Linked DNA regions of Arabidopsis thaliana. The protein of the gene in region 1 interacts with the protein of each later gene in a pairwise test. Each region holds a gene or a part of one and is shown on either strand. Other genes may lie near its edges. The genes, in order: KAN, AT1G01440, AT2G21830 and AT4G39050.

Region 1 (7,633 bases):
CGTTGAGGGACTCATTCAGAAAACGAAAATATGAGTACATTGCTAGGTTTGGAATATAGGAGTTAATGAACTCAATTCCTTGTACCATTAACTAAAGATAAAAGAAATTAAGTGTATCCTAGGAGTTTTAGAAACCTAACTCAAAATTAGGAATGGACCTCATTCAAAAACGTTAGAAGTATAGCTAGGGTTGTTATACTGTTTTTGATTGAAAATGCTTTTTAAATAGATCATAATAGTATCTTGTTTAACTCACATGCAGCAAAACGTCTAAAAACTGCAAGCATACTGTACTTCTTTACTTTCCAATAATTAAAATTTATATCTAATAAGAAAAATATATATTACTGTATAATCAACGAATAAAATCTCACTTATTTAAATTTCCTGATATATAAACATAGTCTTACAATTTATCATATTTTTATTTCAAGGCATTAATGATTTGTCGAGATGTTGTATTGATATGGTCATGTGAGGAGTGAATAGTTTATTTTTTTTCTTAGAAGACAATTTAAAGAAAATTAGAAAAGAGTTATTAAATTGAGAAGGAATATTTGGGAGAATGAAAAGGGAATTAGAAGCAAATATTTAGGTTCTTTAGGGTTCACTTGTTTTTGTTTATTAAGGGAAACAAACAAAATCCACTTTCTGGCTGAGTATTTTCTTAGGTCTAATATATATTTAACTTCACGTATAATCTAAAAGCATGCATGTTACGTTACAATAATTGATCGAATTCTTTATATGACACTTGGTTTATATACGTACGAGGGCACCTTGTATTGTACACACGTATGCATATATGTATGTATTTGAAGAGAAAGATACTTTCTAAGACAATAATTTCCGTACCTTTGGAAGGCAAAACACAGAGTTTATATATTCCAAATTAAAAGTGGGATAAAAAAATATAATAATTCTTTGACAAAAACATACGAATAGTTAAATACTATTCAATTTTGTATATTTTTCATTATTTTTCAGTATGACATATTTCTGTTTCACAGTAGATAAAGTCAACTCCATAATTTTTTTTGTAGAATTATAAACGAACAATGTGAATGTAAAAATGTCGAGTACAAAGAAAACAGAAACACTAGAATGCATACATTATTACATTCGACACAAACAAGTCAAAAATATATATAAATCTGCCTAATTTTATTTCTTTTCAAGTACGTATTTTAAAGCGACATGTATATGACTTCGATTTGGCTCTAATTGATAGACAACACAAAACGGTCAAACAAGTAGCCGGTTGATATTGTAGTCACATCTCTAGGAACTAAATGTCTATACGAGCTATTCATAAACTCAAGAACGTACTGATATTTAATGTATATTTATCTCTTTAGGTATAGTTGAACAATCTACGGTCAGAAACTTGAATTTGTTTGATTCCAAAATCGTATAAGGAATTATTATAATAAGATGTGAATAGAGAGTGAAGTGAGAAGCGAAGAGAGTGGGGGAGAAAATAAAAAAGGAGTCAGAGAGGACACAGTCTCTTTCTCTCTCTCAAGTCTCAACATATGTATCCCGTCGTCTCCGGGGTACCAAAATCAAAGCACTCTCTCTTTTTTTATTTTATTTTTTTTTGGTTATAATGAAACTTTTTATTTATTTTAGAATAGGTCTTGTGTTTGTTTTTTTCTTCTTGTTATTTATTTATTTAATTTAATTTTGGCTTTTGCTTTGACTATAGATTAGATAGGACAGAAGAGAGCGACCCTTTATTCTCTCTCCTCTTGTACTCTTCTCCAACATTTTTAATTATTATTCTTCATGATAATCTGTGAACATTATTATTTTAAAGATCAATTGAGTTTTTGATTTATTACTCAAATTGTTAAGGTTTTAATGGATGATAATCGTATTAATTTTTATTGTTAAAAGTTGTATGCTTTTCATCTATGAAATTGGTCGATTATTAAATACACTTTACATTTGAAAATTTCATCTACTAAATTGATAGAAAACAAGATTTATTTTGCTATTATTCTTCAACTTTATCTATGGAAATCAAAATTTCAGTAGTTTAAACGAATAAACTAAAACATGAAATCAATTAATCTAGCCGTAAAATAATTTATATTATATTGATAGATGGGTTTACTTGTTGAAAGGTGAAAAAGACAAATTGAAATACCATCCCAAAATAAAATAAAAAGCTTCCAATATTTGGAATATAGCGAATGACAATATTACCCTTTCTCAACTATCGTTTTCCAAGATATACTCTCGAGGAACAACATCTCACACATACACATACACATACATGTACATGAACGAACACACATATATCTCTCTCTCTTACCTGTTTTTAATTTTCCTGGATTTAGTTTTATTCCTTTTTTCTCTTCTGCCTTTGCTTCACAACACACATACCTCTCTCTATCTCTCTCTTCCTTCTTTTTCTCTCTCTCTGCGTCTTACTTTGAGCATGTTTGTTTCTTCAAGAAGATCATCACTCAACTTCTCTCTCTTCTTCTAAGCTTCTCTTTAACTTCATCTCTCTCACTTTCTCCTTTCTTTCTGAGATATAGAGAGAGAAAGAGAACAAAAAAAATATCAAATCTTTCAGACACCCTTTTGACTTCTTTGCCTAAAGAATCTCTCTGCTTTCTCTTCTCCTTAGAGAAAATCATTTTAAATTCCTAAGCAAAACCCTCAGGAGAAAAAAAAAACAAAAGAATAGTCATCATCATCATCACCATCATCATCCTTATCATCATCAACAACTTCAGTGGCAGCAATAGCAAGAGAAAGGTTTCTTTAATTATGTCTATGGAAGGTGTTTTTCTAGAGAAAACCAAAACAAACACAACAACTACTCTCCCTGATCTATCTCTCCACATCAGTCTCCCAGATATTCATCAATACCATCACAATGAATCTTCTAAAGAATCTTCAAGAAGATCCTCCCAACTCGAAAACAACAACCGATCGTCCAACTTTGAACTCTCTTTATCTCATCATAACCATCCAACAGCAAGAATCTTCCATTGTCCTGATCGAAGAACCCTTAATCTTCCTCATCAGCAGCATTACAACAACCCTATCATCAATGGTGTTCATCAAAGGGTCGATGAATCCGAGATTAGTAATCTCCACCGTCCAATTAGAGGCATCCCGGTCTATCACAACCGTTCATTCCCTTTCCACCAACAAAACTCTTCATTACCTTCTCTTGGAGGAGGAGACATGGATCAAATCTCAATCTTAAACTCATCTTCCGGCTACAACAACGCTTACCGATCATTACAATCTTCCCCGAGGCTTAAAGGTGTTCCTTTGCATCATCATCATCATCATAATCAGTATGGAGTCGTTGGATCTTCAGATTCGTCTTCTCCTCATCACCATAACCATCATCATCATGGGATGATCAGATCAAGATTCTTGCCTAAGATGCCGACAAAGCGAAGCATGAGAGCTCCAAGGATGCGTTGGACTAGTAGCCTCCACGCGCGGTTTGTTCACGCTGTTGAGCTTCTAGGCGGCCATGAAAGTACACATTTATATCATAATCACATTCTAATGATCATTCCCATTTTTCTTCACTTTATTCTCAAAGTCTTAAATCTTTTATTCTTGTTGTTGTTGTGATTCTAGGAGCAACTCCAAAGTCGGTTCTTGAGCTCATGGATGTAAAAGACTTAACTTTAGCACATGTGAAGAGCCATTTGCAGGTATAATCTATACTCTATTTGAAATTAAATTAGACACAACAAAGAATCAATTTTTATTTGTTAATTTAGGTTTAATCTAGTCGAGTTAGTTCGTTACCAATCAAGATTTTCTATAATTAGGGATATTTCATAGTTTTCATCACCATCATGTCACTCTCTTCTCCTTTGCGTTTTGCACAAAAACAGCTGAATCAAGAAACAAGGTTTTTGTGTACGTATATATCATCAGAGCAATGAATAGAGCTCCAATTCTGATGTGTTACTTTTATTTTCTTGTTTTGTCTTTGCTTTAAGTTTAGTCATATTTTGGAAGAGATGGCACAATTGCCAAGAAAATTGAAGCAGTTGAATGAATTTAAAGAGAGAAAAAGAGAGAGTAGTTATAGCTTTAAGTGACTGAAACCTTTCAGAGAATTATTAAACAATGGAGAATTGAGATGATAGATAGAAGTTATTTTGGATTATAATTCATTTTTTCTTTTTTAAATTAGGAAGAGGGGACAAAAGTAGTCATCATTACTCAATGATAATAATACAATCTTTCTATTACTCAACCTTCTTTCAGACATCAACCTCGTGGTCTTAAAATCATAAATAATTAATTATATATACATCATCAGTTCCAAGACAAACCCAGAAAACCACACATATGTACTACATATATTATTTATTTAATAATATAAAGTTCATATGTGTCTGCATATATCTCTCCAGTTTGTCATCTGTAATTCTGTATCACATTATACAAAAATAAATCTATTTAGTTTATCAGTATCTTTTGTCCGATATTTATTTTGGTTTTTTCCTGTGTCTTTAATTGGATTTATGGTTTATTCTAGTTTTAGAGCTCTCATCATGCCTTTAATTTTTTTTTTTTTGCAGATGTATCGAACTGTTAAGACCACTAACAAGCCTGCTGCTTCATCAGGTACGTGTGATTCCTTTACACACACACACACATATAATGTTATGCATATTCACATTTCTTTAGTATAGCTTTTTTCAGCTTTATATATGCTAAAGAAATGGTACTGGCTTTTAATAAGAAAGATATACAATTCACCAAAAAATAACATAAGACAGATATACAATAAAGCTTAGGATTCTCCACCAGAATTTTATAGAAATGGAGGTCCAATATAATCACTATTATAGCTTTTTTTGACTACAATATTTATAAGAAATTAGTTCTCAATCAGAATTTGAAGCTGTGATTCGATATTTGTATGTATGTAGAGATATAATGACGTGAAATTATTTCTGTTATTTTTACTATTTGATTCTACTATTTCTACTATTCCCTTTCCCCAAAATAATAAAAAACGAGCCCTAAGATATTGGTCAAGCTCAAGGCTTTTATCCTTCCTTTGATTGAACCCTAAAGTTGAGTGGTCAAAGTTCAAAGCAAACCAAACAAACATATATCCCCAATATTGATGTTCTCTAAGAAAAAAAAATCGAGTAAAAGATTAAATTTAAAACGTGTGAAGTGTAAACTCATATCCAAGCAAAGTTCATGAATTAAGAATAAAGAAAAACCACTTGTTTCATATGGATTTTCTTTAACCAATTAAAAGTTTATTTGGCACAATTTTCGAGTCTGTAAAACTATTTTTTGAGACACATATTAGGTTGGTCAACACGAAATGCTGAAATTATTTTTTAAGAAAAACAATTTCTTCACTGCATTGTCTTTTACAAAAAAGCTTACAAGAATCGTTCAGTTTTAAATGAGATTCCTTATAGGGTATAAGTGATTGATTTGAGACAACGAAACTTGATAAAAAGTTAAAATAAAATTTCAGATGGGTCAGGAGAAGAAGAAATGGGCATAAATGGAAACGAAGTTCATCATCAATCATCGACGGATCAAAGGGCACAATCTGATGATACTTCTCTTCATCAAGAAACTGACATTTCTTCCACACAACCTCGTTGGAGTAACTCTTCACGGTACGTTTACGTATATACGTACATGTATTATACACACGATAAGTATATATAAACATTAGGTAAGAATAAGATTGACGAAATTTGAGATAGGGTTTAGGGTTCTCTCACCTAATTGTTCCTACTTCCTACCAAGTAATTCATACGACAATTGTTTGGTTTATCCCACATCTATCCATTTTCTTCTAACAAAAATAGTTTTTAGATGATATTTTAAGTTTGTTTTCGTTCAGTTTAAGGGGAAAAAATTTGAGTGATGGTTTTGGTTACAATGAGATGAAATTGGTTAGGGTTTATGGCTGATGAACTTTAATTATATGTACCAAGTTTTTTTTTTTAATTATAATTTGGTTTGGGTTCTTAAGATTCATCTAGGAAGACTAGGATAAACGAATTTTGCTTCATAAGTATGACATGTAGATTGTGGTCATATAGCAAGTTGCAAAAAAACGCAATTTGTGTGTAGTGATTTTTATTTTATTTTTAGGGCATCTATACATCAATAAATACAATTTGTCCTTAATTTGTTTTCTTTCTTTTCTTAAATCATAAAATAGAGAGACATGGCCATTAAGTAATAACTGCTCAAGCGACATAGATACAATGATCAGAACTTCATCAACATCAATGATCTCTCATTATCAAAGATCCAGCATTCAAAATCAGGTTCTGATAATTCCCATCTAATCATATTTGTATAGATAGATATTGCCTTTCTTAGTGTTTTTTTTGTCCTTTAATCTAATATAAAGTTAAAATTGGCAGGAGCAAAGGTCGAATGATCAAGCAAAGAGGTGTGGAAATCTTAGTTGTGAAAATCCAAGTTTGGAGTTTACATTAGGCAGACCAGATTGGCACGAGAAATGACTTTCTTGATCAATTTGGATTTTTATATATATTGGATTTTTTATTTTTTTGTTTCATCTTTCTCTCTCTATATATACTCAGAAACATGTATGCAGTATATATCTTTGTGACGATGAAATTCTCAGCGTAAAAGAAGGAGAACACGTAGAGAGCCAAGCTGCTCAAGAGTGTTGATTTTTGCACAGAGAGAGAGAATATCACTACCAAAATGAAGAAATTTGGAGGTTCCTCTTCTCAAGTTCCATTGATGATTTGATTATAAAGTGGATGATCAATGTATGAGTTTTTGTTTTTGGGTTTTCGGGTTTTTAGTTTTTTGAGGTTGATCTGGTGGTGTGATCATAAGTTATATAATTGGAAGATCATCAAAATGTGGTGAAAGTTTGGATATTTTTTTGAAAGCCTCTTGGTTGGCTAGAGGGTTTCAAGTTTTTTTTTTTTTTTTTGCAGCCGAAATGTAGAGAGAGGGAGAGATCTGAGTTGAGATTTCATATGGATACTGATCATTATTCTTTCTTAAGTACATAAAACACACAATGTATGCATACATAGATCCAAAAATCCGTAGACATTGATCACAAAATGTTTCAAGTTGCATTTTGAAATATTCTTATCATTCTTTCTCTGCTTCTTCACAACAAACTCCATAGATCATATTTATATCAAGCTTCCATTAACAACCAAAAGTCGGGGTTTATTTACAAACGCGGTAAGGACGGATTCTCAGTTGGTTGATTCGATGTTTACCTCCCGGTCTTGGTGTTGATGACGACTGATAGTGTTACCTGAAATGGCTGATCCCACCACTGAAACCGATTGCTTAGCCAAGCGTAGGCTTCCTCTTGTTCCCAACCACACCGCATAGAAAAACCCAATCCAACCTGATCCAATACCAAATTCATTTCATTCTTCAATACATATAGGAAGTAACTTGGAGTGTCACTCATTACAAGATTCCAAAACAGAATCAGAGCAGAGTATATAACCAACCTGAAGCTATTAAGACAGAAACGACAGCAGAAACTGTAGCGGTAGAGATGACGAATGCAGCAACGGATAAGGCTCCAATGTAAACACCAGTCAAGCAGAGAAAGAAGAGTGCCAAGAAGCCACCAGCAACA
Region 2 (5,993 bases), on another chromosome or scaffold:
TAATCTCTACATTTATGGAAATTAGGTGATTAGTTTGTATTTGTAGTGTCTATCAAACGAAACTCGATAAGGATGGTCCTACAGTATTTATTGATTAATTATCACTTATCAGGAGCAAAGATAGAGACTTGTTCTCTCTCTCTTTTTTCAACTAAAGACAGAGACCTCGCACTTAGATTTAATGGTTGAAACTTGTAACTAAAACTACTTGTGAGTATATAAATTAGTATCTAGTTTATGCTTTACACATCTAATTAGACGAAAAAATATATTTTGTCTTCTGATAACCGTGGTAATTTTCATGCTAATTTTGTTTTAAACGTTCTATCTAGAGAAAAAAAAAAAATCGTTCTATCTAGACGGTAGAATTAGTTCTCGGTGATTTAAAACATAAACTAATCTTTAGACATGAATTAGTCGTTTTAGACAGACTAGATTATCGACTCTGTTTTTTTATATGGAGTAGGGTACACCACGACCACGAGGCCCATTGTGAATAAATTATTCCATGGGCTTTAAATATTTGCTACGTGGACCCATCTTACTTGAAGTTGATTTTGGATCTACCATACCAGTGTGTTTTCTTTCTTGAAAACGATTTAACAAGTACACACAGCCTGGACAGATCTATAAATATATACATTTATCTTTTGTCACAAAATCAAACAAATATTATTTTATTTCCCAACAGGCAACAGGTTATCCACAATAAAAAATGATCAATTTACATAAACCAGATCACAAGATATAAAACCATACGGTTTATCTCTTAGACAAAAAAAAAAAAAGTAAGAGAAAGAATGGAACATTGTAAGAGAACCCCCAAAAAAGAAACTAAACCCAAAAACAGAATAGCAAATAAGTTTTGGGTCAGAATATAAGCAAAGATGTGTTATATATCAATCACAAAGAATAATTTACAAATCAGAGAGGTCAAAACAAAGCTGACGAAGCTTCACGAGACTAATGATCTTGGAACCCTCATGCCAAATCCATGCTTCACCTTGTCAACCCTGATTCAATTTTCAACCATAAAATTTCAGAATCAACTAAATGATTGATGTAAAAATTTGATTACATGGAATTGTGTTGTGCTTACGTTGGAGCTAATCTGCCAAGACTCTTAAGTTCTTCACCAGAGTCTCCATCAAGAACTCTTCCTGCTATATCAATGATGTAAGAACGGTTCTTGCCTCGAGGAAGACCTCTACTTGATAGTAACTCTAGGTCTCTCTCGTGAAGCTCTCTTCCGTTTACAAACACACTCGTGTTTCCTGCACCGCAGTTATCCGGCATTGGTCGACTAAACTCCTCTATAAATGGCTGCATCAACCAACAATTGTTTCCCATTTCCTCATCAAGTACCAATCAATACAAAGAATTATGAAACAGTGTACTGGAATTCAAAGCAATATAGAAGAGATGTGAAAGTTCTTACTGGTATTATACCGAGACAAGGGTTTCCCATCACTCCCCAGAATCCAGCACGGTAATCATACCTGGTCAGAATCATAACATAAAGATGGTTTCTTGAACGACTGATCAATTCTTTTGACGTAGATTTATCAAAACGTAACCCCAAACATACCAGTATTTGCCAGCTTGAACTGGCCCAGCTTGTTTCTCAGCGCTAATAACCAGATCTTCTGGTATCAGATACCCATTCACCCAAACCTCTAGCTGCTCGTTGTTTTGGTCGTTAGAACTGATATTATTTGTGACCTCTGCGAAACTGTGCTCACTACTCTGCTTTCGGTTTCTTGGTCGTCTCCCTTCTTTGCTGGCTTTTGAGATCCTTGAATCTTCAGACTCCTCGGTGTTAGTATAGTACTCATTATAAGAAACATCTGTCTCAGTAGCTACTGATTCTGATTTCAGGGAGTCTTGTTTCGTGTATGATTCTTGCTTATAGTACCCTAACTGCGCCATTCCGTAAGTGATTGCAGCTCGGTTTACATTAGAATACTCAAAGAGCTCAAGAAGATTGGACTTTTCCGGAGGAGGAGGAGGAGGAACCTTCGCGCCTTGGGCTCTGCTGCGAACAGACTTGACGACCTGTTTCCGCGGCTCACTAGAAATGCTTGACCTGTCTTCATCGTTTGAGTGATCACTAGGCGATACAGCATGGACAATTTTCGTTTCCTGGTGTATTCTTGGTTCTTCATCATTGAGTGGATAATCATCTACCACAGGGATTGGTGAGCTTCTATCTTCAACCTCTACAGAAACCCGGTTCGTAGTTTCCCCCAGGGCAGAAGATGAGAAAACAAGCTTCTTATCAACAACTCTGAACGTGATAACCTCAGAACAAGCACCACATTGCATCTTTTGTTGCCTTTCCTGACCAAGAAGCTTCTTCTTAGGCACATATAGCAGCTCAAAGCAACTGTGACAAGCAATAAAAGGCGCACCGCCTGCTAGAGGATGGCAACGACGTGAATCAGTATCAGACACAGCTTGTTGAACATACCCACGAGCAAAAGCACCACCCATTTCAGAATCAATTTCACTAGGCCACCTCGTGTGAACACCACCATGTGGACTAAAGGGTCCAACTTTCTCACCGTGGTGCAAAGCCGGGCTAAATGGGACATCACCATACCTACTTGGCGTACCCGGAAAGAATCTAGGGTCCTGTAACTGTGACTCAAGTATATCAGAGCCAATGTCTACATACTGTCCTTGAGGATAGGGTGGACGAGGCGGCATCTGATTAGGGTAATGACTTGGTCCTTGATAAAAGTTTTGAGGTATCCTATGCACTGGGAATCCATAAGGGTCTCTATAAGCTGGAACATGAGGTTGGTTACTCGCGGTAGGATACATTCCATAAGGAAATGGCTCAGGGTATGGATTGTAATAAGAAGGAGGAGGTCCATGATGGGCATGGAAACCCATTGGTGGCTGATCAACAACAGTAGCATTATTACCTCCACCACGGAGAAGATGATCTTTAATAGAATCAAGCTTTCTCAAAAGCTCGGCTTGTTGTTTATCAGTGTACTGAATTGGGTTGTTTCTGGTGGTTGTGTTCTTAGAAGAAGAAGAATCTGAATCAGTCTCTTCCTCCTTTCTCGAGCTCTTGACGAATCTCTGAGAACCAGGTCGTGAATTCGAATCGTCTAGGCGATTTCTCATCGGGCTAGTAGCGGATTCATTGAGATCCTCCTTAAAGCCTCTGTCTTCATCACTTCTTGAGGAACCAGTATCTGCTCCATAAACGTCACCGCTTGTCCTCATCGGAAAAAAAAAACAAAAATTCTCCGACGAAGACCAGCTTCTAGGGTTTTGCTTGTTTAAACTGCAACAGAAATAATAATCCTTGAATTCAAACAAAATCCGAAATTATCAACAAATTCTCTAATCGAATCTTCTCCAATCCGCGAATAGTAACATGGTAGAGCAAATCTTAAAATTTTCCTAGAGACTAGTTCAAGAGTTTCCATGATTGCACAGCATCCAAAACGGGAAAGACAAGACAGAGAGATATAGGAAAATCAAACGCACCTCGAAGAAGAGTGATTCCGGCGTCAGTATTATGAATATTTTTTGGGCAATTTCTTCGTCTCCGGTGAGAATCAAGCTTTTAGTCTCTTTGACGCAGCCATTTTTTAATATTAAAGGAGTTTTGTGAAAATTTCAGAGGAATTTATTTAAATAATCAAAAGACTTCGAACAATAGCTCTACTTTTCTTGCTTCGTTTTCCCGGGAATCTACCAACTAGGAACAATTAGATCGACAATGGAGTTTAAGAATTTTGACATATCTAGAAACTATGAGTCTTACCAGGTCAAGTTGACCAAGAGATAACGTGACGACCAAAAATAATGCAACAAAATAAAAATAGTAGTAACTAATGAATTGGTTGGATCGATTCGAATTTAACTGCATTTGAAAGGTGAAAGTTAAAGTACCAAATTAGGTCTTTGATATATTTGTGTCTCGCTGCTCCAAAACCAACAATACCTTGAACTACACACACTATTCATCATGGCCATGGTGGGTTTAGTTTATAACGATGAATGTGTACGTATTTTATACATGTATTGTATAATATTATCTTGTCAAAATAGATGGTGTGCCATGTTCCCAGACGTGCTCATAACTTGAATTCTTTTCATCATCATCATCTTTAAAAAGTTTAGAGATGTATTTTAGTTGTTGGAATTGTATTTTATATTAGGGTGACAATGACAAATGTTATAGCTGTAAAGTATTTTTTGTACAAATCAGCTGCTTAGTTTGTTTACTCCACTTGCTTATAATGTTATATTTGACAAATCTGTTGGTATTAAAATCATAATAACGTACTTATCACCAAAAAAAAAAAAGAAATCATAGCTTCATTCATCTAAAACTAGAGTGGGGACTTTTTGGTCATATCACAATCAATGACATAATAAAAGCGTCGGAGGATGGATGTGACGGAGTCGGCGGTGGCGGAGATATTGAAATTGACGAGAGACAGAGCCAAAGCTCCGAACCACGCCATGTCTCTAGTCCCCGGCGGAATCGCTGTTCCCCTTTTTTGTTAAGGTAATTTTCAGGCAGATTAGTCAAGGTTCCTTATTTTTGATGTTTTTATCCACATTCGAAGCCCAAAATTTGATTAGTGTAATTTGATGGTGTTTGATAGATTGTAGAAATAGTGGAGCAGGCCTAGTTTACTTCACTTCAGCGTTGAGCCTCTACAGTCTAGGCACATAATTTTGCCTCATATGATTTGTTTCCTTTAAGATAATATTGTAGCTAGTAGCTACTGAATCAATCAGTCACTAGCCTGAACAATATACGAGCCTAGTAGTATCTGTAGGAAACTTTGAATAAAGAAGAATTTTATCGTTTTCGATAGATATGTAGTGGAGTGTGTGTCACCACATACGAGTTAGTATGTCTTTTGACTTGTACAGCATTTTGAACTTGCTATTATGAACCTATTCTTTTTCCCTGCAGACTAGGAAAGCTCAGAGTCAGAGGCATGTCCAGAGTTTGATCGTCGTATCCTTGGGCTTATCAATATCAGCTGACTCTCAGAGTTTGCTCTCATGCTTTGCCCACCACAAGGGCTTAGTGGCGGATGCCTTGATCGTCCTCTCGGAGTTGTCCCTGAACAGAATCCAAAGGCTAGTGACACAAAACAAAAAAATTAGTACAAGTAACCAAGTTCATATTTGTTAGGGAGCCTATATATATATATATATATTGGCTGATGATAATCTCACCTGGTTTTTGAATTGGTTTCAGGCTAGAAGCTCTTTTCAGAAGATTTGAAACCTGCTTCTTGCTCATACCAACATCATTTGAGGAGCATGACAATCTTCTTTCCTTGGCATATGACAACTGCTCATCTGATCCTGCCCCACCCTCATCCTCGCTACACGAAGCCCATTCACTTCCTGATTCCGATGGTTCCCGGAGATTATCCTTTTCACACGTTTTTGCCCGTTCCACAACCCTATATGCAAACATTTGAAAAGGAACCTGTGAAACTTTGGTTAGCTCTGTAGATTCCCAAGAAAGCTTCTGCAATAGCTTTGTCTCGATCTCGCAGTAATCCACAGTAGGCGCAATGGACGGGTCTTGTTGGCTACTACTGTAACATTCCGGGTTCAAAGCTAGAAACCGTTTGATATACCGGAGAATTCTGCTTATCGATGAGAAAGTTGGACGCTGATTGGGATCAGCATGCCAGCATCGTTTTGTCAGGTTTGTTATGAACTTTGGTGAATTAAATGGAAAAAGCGGTCTCTCCCCGGCCCTAATGTTTCTACTCATCTTATCTCCTTGCAGGTGGCTATCTTCAAATGGTACTTTACCTGTCAGAAGCTCAAAGCTAACCATCCCAAAGCTATACACGTCAGATTTATCACTATACTTAAGGCTTCCTGCAGTTCCACTCTGTTCTTGCTCCTCTAGAACTTCTGGAGAATACCATATGAATGGAAAATTCTCATTCTGACTCGTCAAAGAAGCACTTTTACTAGAGAATCCC
Region 3 (4,885 bases), on another chromosome or scaffold:
CTATCTGGAATTTCCGACAAAACGTCAGGAACGTGATTTTACTTTGAGTCTTCTCCATATTGAATGAACAGGCTTTGAGGAATTATATTGTAAGTGTGAATACAGTGGGAGATGCTTGCTTGAGAACAAGCTGCAGTTGCCTGACGTTTTGTACTACAGATAAAGAATCATTCTCTCTTTTTGTACTACAGAAACGTAGAATTGCCTCGAATTGGATGCAAGGATTCCTGAGAAGCCTTAATTTGCCTCCCATGACGAGTTTTCGAGGGAAGGAGCTTTGTCATGAAACAGCGGAAGACTTGTTTGTTAGTTGGTTGGAAATATTCCTGAAACTTTCCGTTTCATTGCATCAGACTGCGCAATAAAGAATCTGCACACCTCATGTGAATGTAAAAACCGCATTCTAGACAACCAAACGGGACACTTTCAATCTTGTCCCTACACGCACCACAAAATGTTCGACCACCACTTCATATGTAATCAAGGCCTCTAAGAGGGTGTTTCGGATGCACGCGATGTTGACTCTCTGTTGGAAGATCAATGCAACGCTCGTGGAGAAACAAGTAACAGGAAACACAACCGTAGCATGTATAAGAGGGAGACAAAGGGAGCTCACAAAGCAGGCAAGAGCCTCTAGCGTCTTGTCCTGGTCTACACCTTCGAAGCAAATGTTCATGACTGTACTGAAGCATTTCTCTAACAACTTGTGATAATGTTCTTCAGTAGGCACAACCAAGATCAAGATAGACCTCACGTTCGTAAAATGAGCAAGAATACATATTCCCACAACCAGAGCAGACAATATATTGGTGACCTATGACTAGTATAGTATGGGTGATAAAATTGCATAGGCGACAGAAGAGATTGAACCCTTCTATATCATTCATGCAAATGTTACAATTCATAACAACTCCTGCACCTGCAGGGGCCGCTGGCTTTTCCAATGGAAACACTGAACTTTGTGTATTATGTCACCAAGATTACATAAGAAAAACACCATTGGAACTGGAAAAACGATAATGGAATCCAAAACAGAGGATTGAAAATACATAGTGTGCCAAAAACAAAGAAAACAGAACAAGAAATAAACAGAGCAAATAAACATATTACAAACATGATTTACTAACCGACAAAATTTTAGAGGTATATAACATAACAAGAAGTTGCAGAACTTAGTTTCAGAGGAGGAACAACCTAACTACGAAGAATCACGGTCTTTGATACGATGTCGGTCAATACACCGAAGATGATAAATCGTTTCACACTCCATACATGACACAGCCTTCCCAAGCACCCTCTCATGACAAATAATACAAACTTTTTGATATGACCTCGGGAACATAACTTGGACCATTCTATGCTTGCCTCCCAAACAACGTCCTCTCCAAGTTCCAACGACTTTCGGTCCTGTCATCCCAAGAAAACGTTTACCTTTCATGGCGCAACTGACGTGGATAATAAAATTGCATATTCGACAAAATAGATTGAACCCTTTTATATCCTCTCTGCAGCTTTTACAACTCGTCATATCCGTAGCAACTGGTTTTGGCATGAGTGTCAAAAGATGGTTCCAATGAAACCGATGTCTTGATGGTTTCCCTAGCTCCACACAGAAGTTATGTGTCACAAAGTTGCAAGTCTCGCATTTCCATGGATTACCAAGTATTTCTTTTTCACATATGTGACAATGTTCTTTGCCTTCAAGCTCACACATATCAATCGATGTCACCACATGATTATGGTTGATATCATGAACCTGCAACATATACCTTACACGTTTGAGACAAAAGGCTGGCTTAAAATGATGTTCATACTTTTCTTCCACTGATAGATAATTATAAAGCCATACCATAACTTTGTTGGTTTCATAGTCTTCTTGGTTTGTTGCTCTTTTGACGTCTTCAACACAAGAATACAGATCCTTCAAGTACAATGGTGATGGCTCTTTCTGTAGTTTGTAGATATAGATCATCAGCATTGCATCATTATTAAGAAACAAAAAAACACAAAAACGATATTGATTACCTCGCGTAGAATGCATTCAATGTGACCAAGAAAATCACATTCTTCGCACGAATAAACATGATGTCCGGCATGAATCAATGTCTCGCAAACGCCACAGTACTCCAAAGAATCATCCTCTTCACGTACTCTTTTACAAACAAGTGGATGAATGTGACAAGATCTCTTAGAAATGGTCTTGGAAATCCCAAGGCATTCGAAATGAAACTCCAATTCACATTCGATGCAGTGGTAGTAAGAATCGAGAGAGCTCACTACAGCTCCCAAGCATATTTGGCAACAATTGTTTCTTCCAAAATGTTCTTTAGCATTCGAAGATACATAAAACAATTTATGCTCATGAGATTCATGCATCAGACAGCGCAAAAACGAATCTGCACACCTCATGTGAATGTAAAAACCACATTCTAGGCAGCCAAAGGGGACACTGTCAATCTTCTCTCTACACGCACCGCAAAATGTTCGACCACCACTTCGTATGTAATCAAGGCGTCTGAGAGGGTGTTCCAGATGCACGGGATGTCGAATCTCTGTCGGAAGATCGAGACAGCGCTCGTGGAGAAACGAGTAACAGTAAACACAACCGTAACATATAGAAGAGGGAGAAAGAGGGAGCTCACAAAGCAGGCAAGAGCCTCTAGCATCTTGTCCTGGTTTACACCTTCGAAGCAAATGTTCATGACTGTAATGAAGCATTTCTCTAACGTCCCAACCAGTGAAAACGTTCTTCAGTAGTGCACAACCGAGATCAAGATAGATCTCACATTCTTTACATTCATAGAATGAGCAAGAAGACATGTTCCCACAACAAGAGCAGACAATGTAACCAGGTTTTCGATCATATTGGAATAGAGAAAACTCAAGAGGATGATCTGAGTGAAAACCATGTGACACCTTTTGCGGCAGCTTGGAGCAAGTCTTACATATATCAAAATTGCAAGGCTTACATGCGTATTCAACAACTTGGTCTTGGAAGCAAATGTTGCAGATGCCTTCAGCTACAATCTCCGGCGAGGTCAAAGGGCATGAGTGGGAGAAATGCTCGAGTTTTCCCATGGGGAAGAAGCAAGATTGGAATCTTGATCTAAGAGTACCATTAGATAACACAGTAATCTTGATCAAAGAACCTTCATGATTCAAAATCCCAAAAGCATAACTAATTGTGAGGTCGACAGAGAGAGAGAGAGTAATAAATTAGTGGCTCAATAATTGTTTCTCAACGTGGTGTGGTTGGAAAATTTAATATTTTTTATTTCGTTTACTGACCATGCTTAATTGGATTCTATTGAGCCCATTTTTTTTTTTTTGGTATCATTATGGTAATTGAAGTAATAATGATACTTAAAATTGTTATTGAATATGAAACTTAAAAATTGATGAAGAGTCTTCTCAGTGTGAAGTACCTTTCACTAGACAGTTCTTTATTCATAAGCATGTTCGATAACATATCAAGAAGCATAAATCCAACAGATGATAAGGGTCAAAGACGACTTCTTTTGGCTAACTTACGACACGTGACCAACAAGATAGGTCTAGACTTCTGAAGAACTGCCACGTCTTGGCAAGGTGGCAGGTTTTAAGACCATGGCTTGAGGGCATAAATAAGTTTTGTGGACAAAAGGGGAAAATGAGTTAAGAAGGATCGGTATCATCAACGATGTCGGGAGCACAAGGAGCAGAGCCGATGGATTCAAGAACGGCGACAACGTACGAGTCAGTGGAAGGAGGACAGAACAAGACGAAGCTTGATATAAGGTCAAAGGAAGACGAAGGTGGGATTCAAGTTGACAAGCTTCAAGACAAGGTCTCTGATGCTGCTGGTCTTGGCGGACCTGTCTTTGGTGCTGGTAAAGACGACAAGAAGCAGGATCTTGGTGTTACCGGTACCGGCTAGGTCTCTGTAAAATATGTTCAGATACGGTCCTGTCATAGTCATGTAATATTAAAAACATGTTTTGAGTAGAAAACTAATCAATAAAAGTCTTTTATGAGAAAACAATGAAACCTAACATTCAGACTCTTTATTATGAACCAAATCAAACTGTGTCCTCTTAAAAAACCAATAGGATCTGTGTATGAAAAAACAGAGAAGCAAGATCAAATAGGACCTTCACAAAACCAACCAAGAGTAAAACACCTAAACTTATAACAACACAAGGAAATAACATGTGTTGAATCCTGAGACAGAACCAGTATGGTAGCTCTCAATACACAGGATGATATATCTCTTCACACGTCATACATGACACAGCTTTCCCAAACAAAAACTCCAAGTTCCAGTGAATTTCTGCCTTAAAGCTTCAAGAACATGTTTACTTTTCAAGGCACAGTTGATGTGGATAACAAAAGTACATATACGGCAGAAGAGATTGAAATCGTATATATTCTCTCTGCAAATGTCACATTTCATCTTTTCCTGTGAAGGATACTTTGTCAACAGTGTCAAAGGATGGTTCTGATGAAATCGATGTCTTGATGGTCGCCCCAACTCCACACAGTACTGATGTGTCTCGAAGCGGCAGGTCTCACATTTCCATGGGTTACCAAGTATGTTTCCTCCACATATCTTGCAATATGGATATTTATCAAGAGCACTCATGAGGACTGGTTTCATAACATGCATATGCCATATATCATTAACCTACCTGAAGCAATTAGCCAAAACGAGAAAAAGTGTTTTTAGTTTTCATGAGCGTGATTGATTATGTAAAAGTCATACTGTAGTTTGTTTTCCAAGTTGTTGGTTCCAGAGGTTTCTTGATCTATTGATCTCATGGTAACTTTGCTAGAAGAATACAAAACTTTCAAGTACAACGGCGAAGGCTTTTCCTGTTGATTATGAGTATGAGTAGCTTTTCATCAT
Region 4 (5,049 bases), on another chromosome or scaffold:
TATTATTATTATTTAGGACACGCAAGATTCCACATGATACTGCTTAAGCACTACGTCGAGCTAAAATGAAATACTCGATTTAAATGAACTACCCCATTAGTTACTTGAAGATGAAACGAAACAATTTGGTTTTGGTCTTTTGGATCATATAGTTAAACGTTATGTATCTTACTCAGTTTATTTTAATGAAGTTTGTTGTTTGGTATATCAATTAGCCTTAGATGTCAAATCAAAACGAAACAAAAACATGAAAATTCAATTTGGCGTTAAATCAAAATAATAATTAATATTCCATGGATAATTAATATACACTTAGCAAATTACCGAAGTACCCTTGCTATCTCGTTGTCGTCAATAATCAAAATTACAGTATTAACCCAATTAAGAGCGTTTAGCGTCTACGTGTAAAGCGGTATCAGGAGAAAGGAGCAGCGATCACATGGGTGGCTTAAATCTATATCCTCCGGTTCCTCACCGGCCAATTATTCTCGCGCGTGTCTCCGCTCCTCTCTGATGCGCGTCACTCAAAAAGTTTGAGTCAAACTCCAGTAATATTTTTGATTTATTTTGTATTTTCAAGAATTTCTTAAAAATTGCTGTTACGTAATTTACAATGCAATGTCTCGCGGTAAAGGTAGAGCCGGAACTCAAGTCAGATCAATCTCCGTGTATGATTGTGTTCGCATCCAATGTTAATAATTTCAGGATTTGTATTTTCCAAGTTAAAGGATACTATTGTTAACTAACGTATATGCTGACAAAAAAAATAAAAAAATAACGAATATTATAAATTTATATCAGTCGCATAATGAAATGTGTAATTTCACCCAGACAAAAATATCTCTACAGAACAAAAAAAAAACGTTTGTTATATATGTTTATTCTGTATATTTAAAATGTAGTCTAACGTTTGTTCTATATGTCTACAATGTGTATTTATATTTAAAACATATTCCATCCTTAATTTGCTTTATATTATTGTTACACCATTCATAGTAATGGAAGAAATATCTATTGGCATTCTATACTTTATGATATATATATATATATGAACCAAAGTATTGTATGTCCAACTGGGACATTTTATATGACGGCGGACGAATAAAGCTTAGCAGATATATATGTACGTGCTGGTAACTCCATATTCATTATTTTGGATTTAAGTTGTAACTCCATACACAATACACATTGATGGATTAGCATTGCATTTTTTTTATGGCATTTTATATCAAAAGATTCTCAATCAAAACTTAGATAGATTCCTAAAGCTTGTAATTAAAGCATCAAACATATTTGTTAACCAGTTATTATTTTTGAAATCGAGTAGTGTTTTGTTGATGCTACATATTATTCCATCATAAAAAGAAAATTAATGTGTGTGTAAGTGTGTTTGAAATAAGTCAATATCTTAGTACAGTAATTAACTAATTATACGAAGAAGAACTATAAGGGTAAAAACGGTAATTACAGTATTTGGTCAGCCATAGTTATTCCCGCTCGTCTCTTGAAAAAAATTCAAACCGGTAAACCATTTTGGTCATACACGTTACAGTAACACGGTGGTCTGGTCTTCAATAATAACCACGTCAGCAGCATACAGTAAAAACTACTTTAAATGTTTTTTTTTATTCTCACCCAAGAAAATAATTTATTTTTGTTTTGTCGTTCTCCTTCCTAAATAATTTTTCAACTACCACAATTAATTTAAAAATTAAAAATAGAGTATATTTGGAAAGGCACAAAAAAAAGAAACAAAATTCAAAATCTGAAATTTCTCAGCCTCCTCGTTTCTTCACCCAGAGGAGAGAGAAATCTGAGGAATTCGATCTTCGCTTAAAGAAGACGAAACAATCTCTCTCTCTTTCTCTCTTCAATGGTCTCACCATCTCTGTCTACCATCTCCTAGCCAAAGAAGAAGACGAGAAGAAGAAGAGAGGGTCACAACAATGCTTTATTCTTCTTATGTCTCCAGCCATGTGAGCTCCCACTGACACATTCTCTGCATCTTCGGAAGTTTTGTTTTGGTTTGATTCTTCTCACCGATTCCTGCGACCGAGTTTGACCCTCGAGTTTCGAGGTTAGTGGATGGCTTCATCCTCATCGAGAACTAGAAGCAGTAGACCTCCAAGTCCCGCTTCTTCCACTTCTTCTTCTCATCTCAGCAACCGTCTCATTCCTCGTTCTAACTCTACCTCTGCTTCCTCATTGATTACCTCCGCCGCCGGAATCGCCTCCCGATCTATGACGCCTAGTCGCACCTTCTCCGACTCGGGCCTTATCGGCTCCGGCAGCTTTGGAATTGGATCGCCTGTTCCCTACCCGTCAGAGGAGCTTCTCGGTGACCCTATGGACGATACTATTAGCTCTGAGCGGGATAGTATCTCCGTCACCGTTCGTTTTCGTCCGTTGAGGTATGCTAGATCTGATCTCGCCATGGACCAGATCTATTGCAGAGATTACAGTTTTCATGTAGATGCAATTGGAGTCAATTCTTTATTGGGGTTTGCAAATTCAAGTTTTTATCTTTGTGGGTTTGCAGTGATAGAGAGTATCAAAGAGGAGATGAAGTTGCTTGGTACCCTGATGGTGATACATTGGTTAGGCACGAGTATAACCCACTCACAGCTTACGCATTTGGTATTTGGTTCACCTCTCAATTATTCTGAATGTTTTCTTGTAATCATTGAGTGAATGTTTTCCAAATTTGTTTTGATGCCAGATAAAGTTTTTGGACCACAGGCAACTACTATTGACGTTTATGATGTAGCTGCGAGACCAGTAGTCAAGGCAGCAATGGAAGGTGTTAACGGTAAGTAACATTGCTGCAAAATTCAGCTTTACCAAAATCTGTATCTTTTATATAGAAATATCCTCTAAACCAATTGGTCCGCAAGTAGTATTGCTTGCAACATATTTTCTGACTCAGGGTTGGAATTTTGACAGGAACCGTTTTTGCTTACGGTGTTACTAGCAGTGGAAAGACACATACAATGCATGTAAGGGTTTTAAAAAAGAAGAATCCTTATACGCCTTTCTCTCTAGTTTTTCTTCAAAACACATGTGCTATGAATTGGGATCTCTTCTTCAACTTGGTCCCCCTTTGGTATCTGCTGGTTATTCTGGGTTACTCTAAACATTTACATGGTAGCAAAAGATACCATACAAATACCAACTTGCCATCATTAATTGGTGATGGTTATGTGAGTTGGAAATCCTCGTATGAATGGAATTTGAAGGTCTTCATTTAGATTGGCTGTGCTTATCTTTAGTGAAGTAGCTACGTTGGGTCTTTAGTTCCCGTCCAAACAAGTAGAACCTAAATCTGATGTTCTTTTTGTTCTGCCATTGGTTGCTTTTGCAATATGCATAGGGTGATCAAGAATCTCCTGGGATCATACCGCTAGCAATAAAAGACGTGTTCAGTATCATCCAGGATGTAAGTGGTCTTAACGGGGTTCATGTCTTTTCTCATCTCATCACGACTTTTTTATATGATTTCATGCTCGCTAACTGGCTACATTTTTATATTTCAGACTCCAGGAAGGGAGTTCCTGCTCCGTGTTTCATATCTTGAAATATACAATGAGGTAAGTGGAACTTTTTATCCTTGATATATTTACTTGGTAATCCCTGAAAAGTAGATATTTTTAGATTGGGATATGTTTTCTAGTTCTTCTGCCTTATCTTTGAGAACTAGAATGCTTAAAAATATAGAGAATTGGGTGACTGTTCATGATCTTCTTGGTTTTACATGTGTGCTTCTATGTTTCAGATATCCGCAGTTTATCTGATAACCGTCTTTGTATCAGGTGATAAATGATTTACTGGATCCAACAGGCCAAAACTTACGTGTTAGAGAGGATTCCCAGGTTTGCTTCAACCTCTATAGAATGCTTGGCTTTCTCCCATTTCTCTCTCACACACGCACACACATTGTGCTCTACTAGAATAAATGTGAACAAATTAGCTTAGAATCACATGTGAATTTGATATCATTTGAGAAAAGATATTGATTCGTTTTGCGTTTTGTTTTTCTAGGGCACTTATGTTGAGGGTATCAAGGAAGAAGTTGTTTTGTCTCCTGGCCATGCACTATCATTCATTGCAGCTGGGGAAGGTTATTAGATAATTTAACCCCTGAAACATGTTTTGATTTTGTCAACTCTGTCCTTCCCGCCTCTACTTAACATTGCTGTTGTTTTTAATTGCAGAACATCGTCATGTTGGTTCAAATAATTTCAATTTGTTGAGCAGCAGAAGTCACACTATATTTACACTGGTACGTCTTCATGCTCCAAGCTCCAAGAGCTTGTCATATTGTAATTTGTAGCCTCTTTTCAGTGTCTCGGCATGATGTTTTGCTCTTACAAGGTGTCCTTACAATGTACATGTTTTGAAGTCTAATTTGTATGTGTTTGCAGATGGTTGAAAGTAGTGCTACTGGAGATGAATATGATGGAGTTATCTTTTCTCAACTCGTAAGGGCCTCTTTCTTTTTGTTATTGTATAAGATCAATTAGTTTTGAAAATGGGACCTAACTGTATATTTTCTTGTTTAGAATTTGATTGACTTAGCTGGATCTGAGAGTTCGAAAACTGAAACAACTGGATTGAGGAGGAAGGAGGGTTCATACATCAACAAGAGTCTTCTAACTCTTGGAACTGTAGGTGTCTATTTTTGATTCGAGCTATCTTTCTATTTTTCATCTGTTTCTTTAGACATTTAAGGTTGGCATGTCCATCAGAAGCTTTGTTACTGAATAATGATGAACTTGCTTACAGGAGTAACTCAATTAGTTTCCACATTCCATTGTTGGCATTAGATAATCAGAAAGGAGTATGCAGTTGTGATGGGAATATACTTGGGATTTTCAGTACTTTTTTTTCTTGATGTAGTGCTGCTAGTACTTCTTGATCGATGTTTGATGTTCTGATAAGTAGTCTGTTGCCCTTATTATACTTTATGCCTGTCGGTGGTAGCATCTTCAGTCACTTAAACCTTTGAGATGGTAGGGCGTTTTACTTATAATTATCTCTTGTGGTTTCATT

Evidence for each region.
Region 2: the proteins of KAN (region 1) and AT1G01440 interact in a two-hybrid assay, tested with the Arabidopsis thaliana proteins (one large-scale study listed by BioGRID).
Region 3: the proteins of KAN (region 1) and AT2G21830 interact in a two-hybrid assay, tested with the Arabidopsis thaliana proteins (one large-scale study listed by BioGRID).
Region 4: the proteins of KAN (region 1) and AT4G39050 interact in a two-hybrid assay, tested with the Arabidopsis thaliana proteins (one large-scale study listed by BioGRID).

Annotation. Positions count from the first base shown.
Region 1 is NC_003076.8:5,406,244-5,413,876, reverse strand, and holds KAN (Homeodomain-like superfamily protein), read left to right. Parts: upstream 1-2,110; 5' UTR 2,111-2,784; coding exon 2,785-3,514; intron 3,515-3,618; coding exon 3,619-3,695; intron 3,696-4,577; coding exon 4,578-4,623; intron 4,624-5,500; coding exon 5,501-5,648; intron 5,649-6,202; coding exon 6,203-6,311; intron 6,312-6,410; coding exon 6,411-6,512; 3' UTR 6,513-7,014; downstream 7,015-7,633. Other genes in the region: AT5G16550 (voltage-dependent L-type calcium channel subunit), read right to left, coding at 7,236-7,393, 7,503-7,633. UniProt on the Arabidopsis thaliana protein: Transcriptional repressor that regulates lateral organ polarity. Promotes lateral organ abaxial identity by repressing the adaxial regulator ASYMMETRIC LEAVES2 (AS2) in abaxial cells. Required for abaxial identity in both leaves and carpels.
Region 2 is NC_003070.9:158,980-164,972, forward strand, and holds AT1G01440 (hypothetical protein (DUF3133)), read right to left. Parts: upstream 3,975-5,993; 5' UTR 3,508-3,974; intron 3,302-3,507; 5' UTR 3,241-3,301; coding exon 1,589-3,240; intron 1,500-1,588; coding exon 1,439-1,499; intron 1,324-1,438; coding exon 1,100-1,323; intron 1,014-1,099; coding exon 956-1,013; 3' UTR 649-955; downstream 1-648. Other genes in the region: AT1G01450 (Protein kinase superfamily protein), read right to left, coding at 5,126-5,993.
Region 3 is NC_003071.7:9,302,014-9,306,898, reverse strand, and holds AT2G21830 (Cysteine/Histidine-rich C1 domain family protein), read right to left. Parts: upstream 3,187-4,885; 5' UTR 3,079-3,186; coding exon 2,026-3,078; intron 1,949-2,025; coding exon 1,850-1,948; intron 1,757-1,849; coding exon 1,199-1,756; 3' UTR 874-1,198; downstream 1-873. Other genes in the region: AT2G21820 (seed maturation protein), read left to right, coding at 3,680-3,916; AT2G21810 (Cysteine/Histidine-rich C1 domain family protein), read right to left, coding at 4,259-4,645.
Region 4 is NC_003075.7:18,191,377-18,196,425, forward strand, and holds the start of AT4G39050 (Kinesin motor family protein), read left to right. Parts: upstream 1-1,698; 5' UTR 1,699-2,085; coding exon 2,086-2,411; intron 2,412-2,539; coding exon 2,540-2,637; intron 2,638-2,719; coding exon 2,720-2,809; intron 2,810-2,943; coding exon 2,944-2,996; intron 2,997-3,370; coding exon 3,371-3,436; intron 3,437-3,533; coding exon 3,534-3,587; intron 3,588-3,809; coding exon 3,810-3,869; intron 3,870-4,038; coding exon 4,039-4,117; intron 4,118-4,211; coding exon 4,212-4,279; intron 4,280-4,421; coding exon 4,422-4,478; intron 4,479-4,559; coding exon 4,560-4,664; intron 4,665-5,049.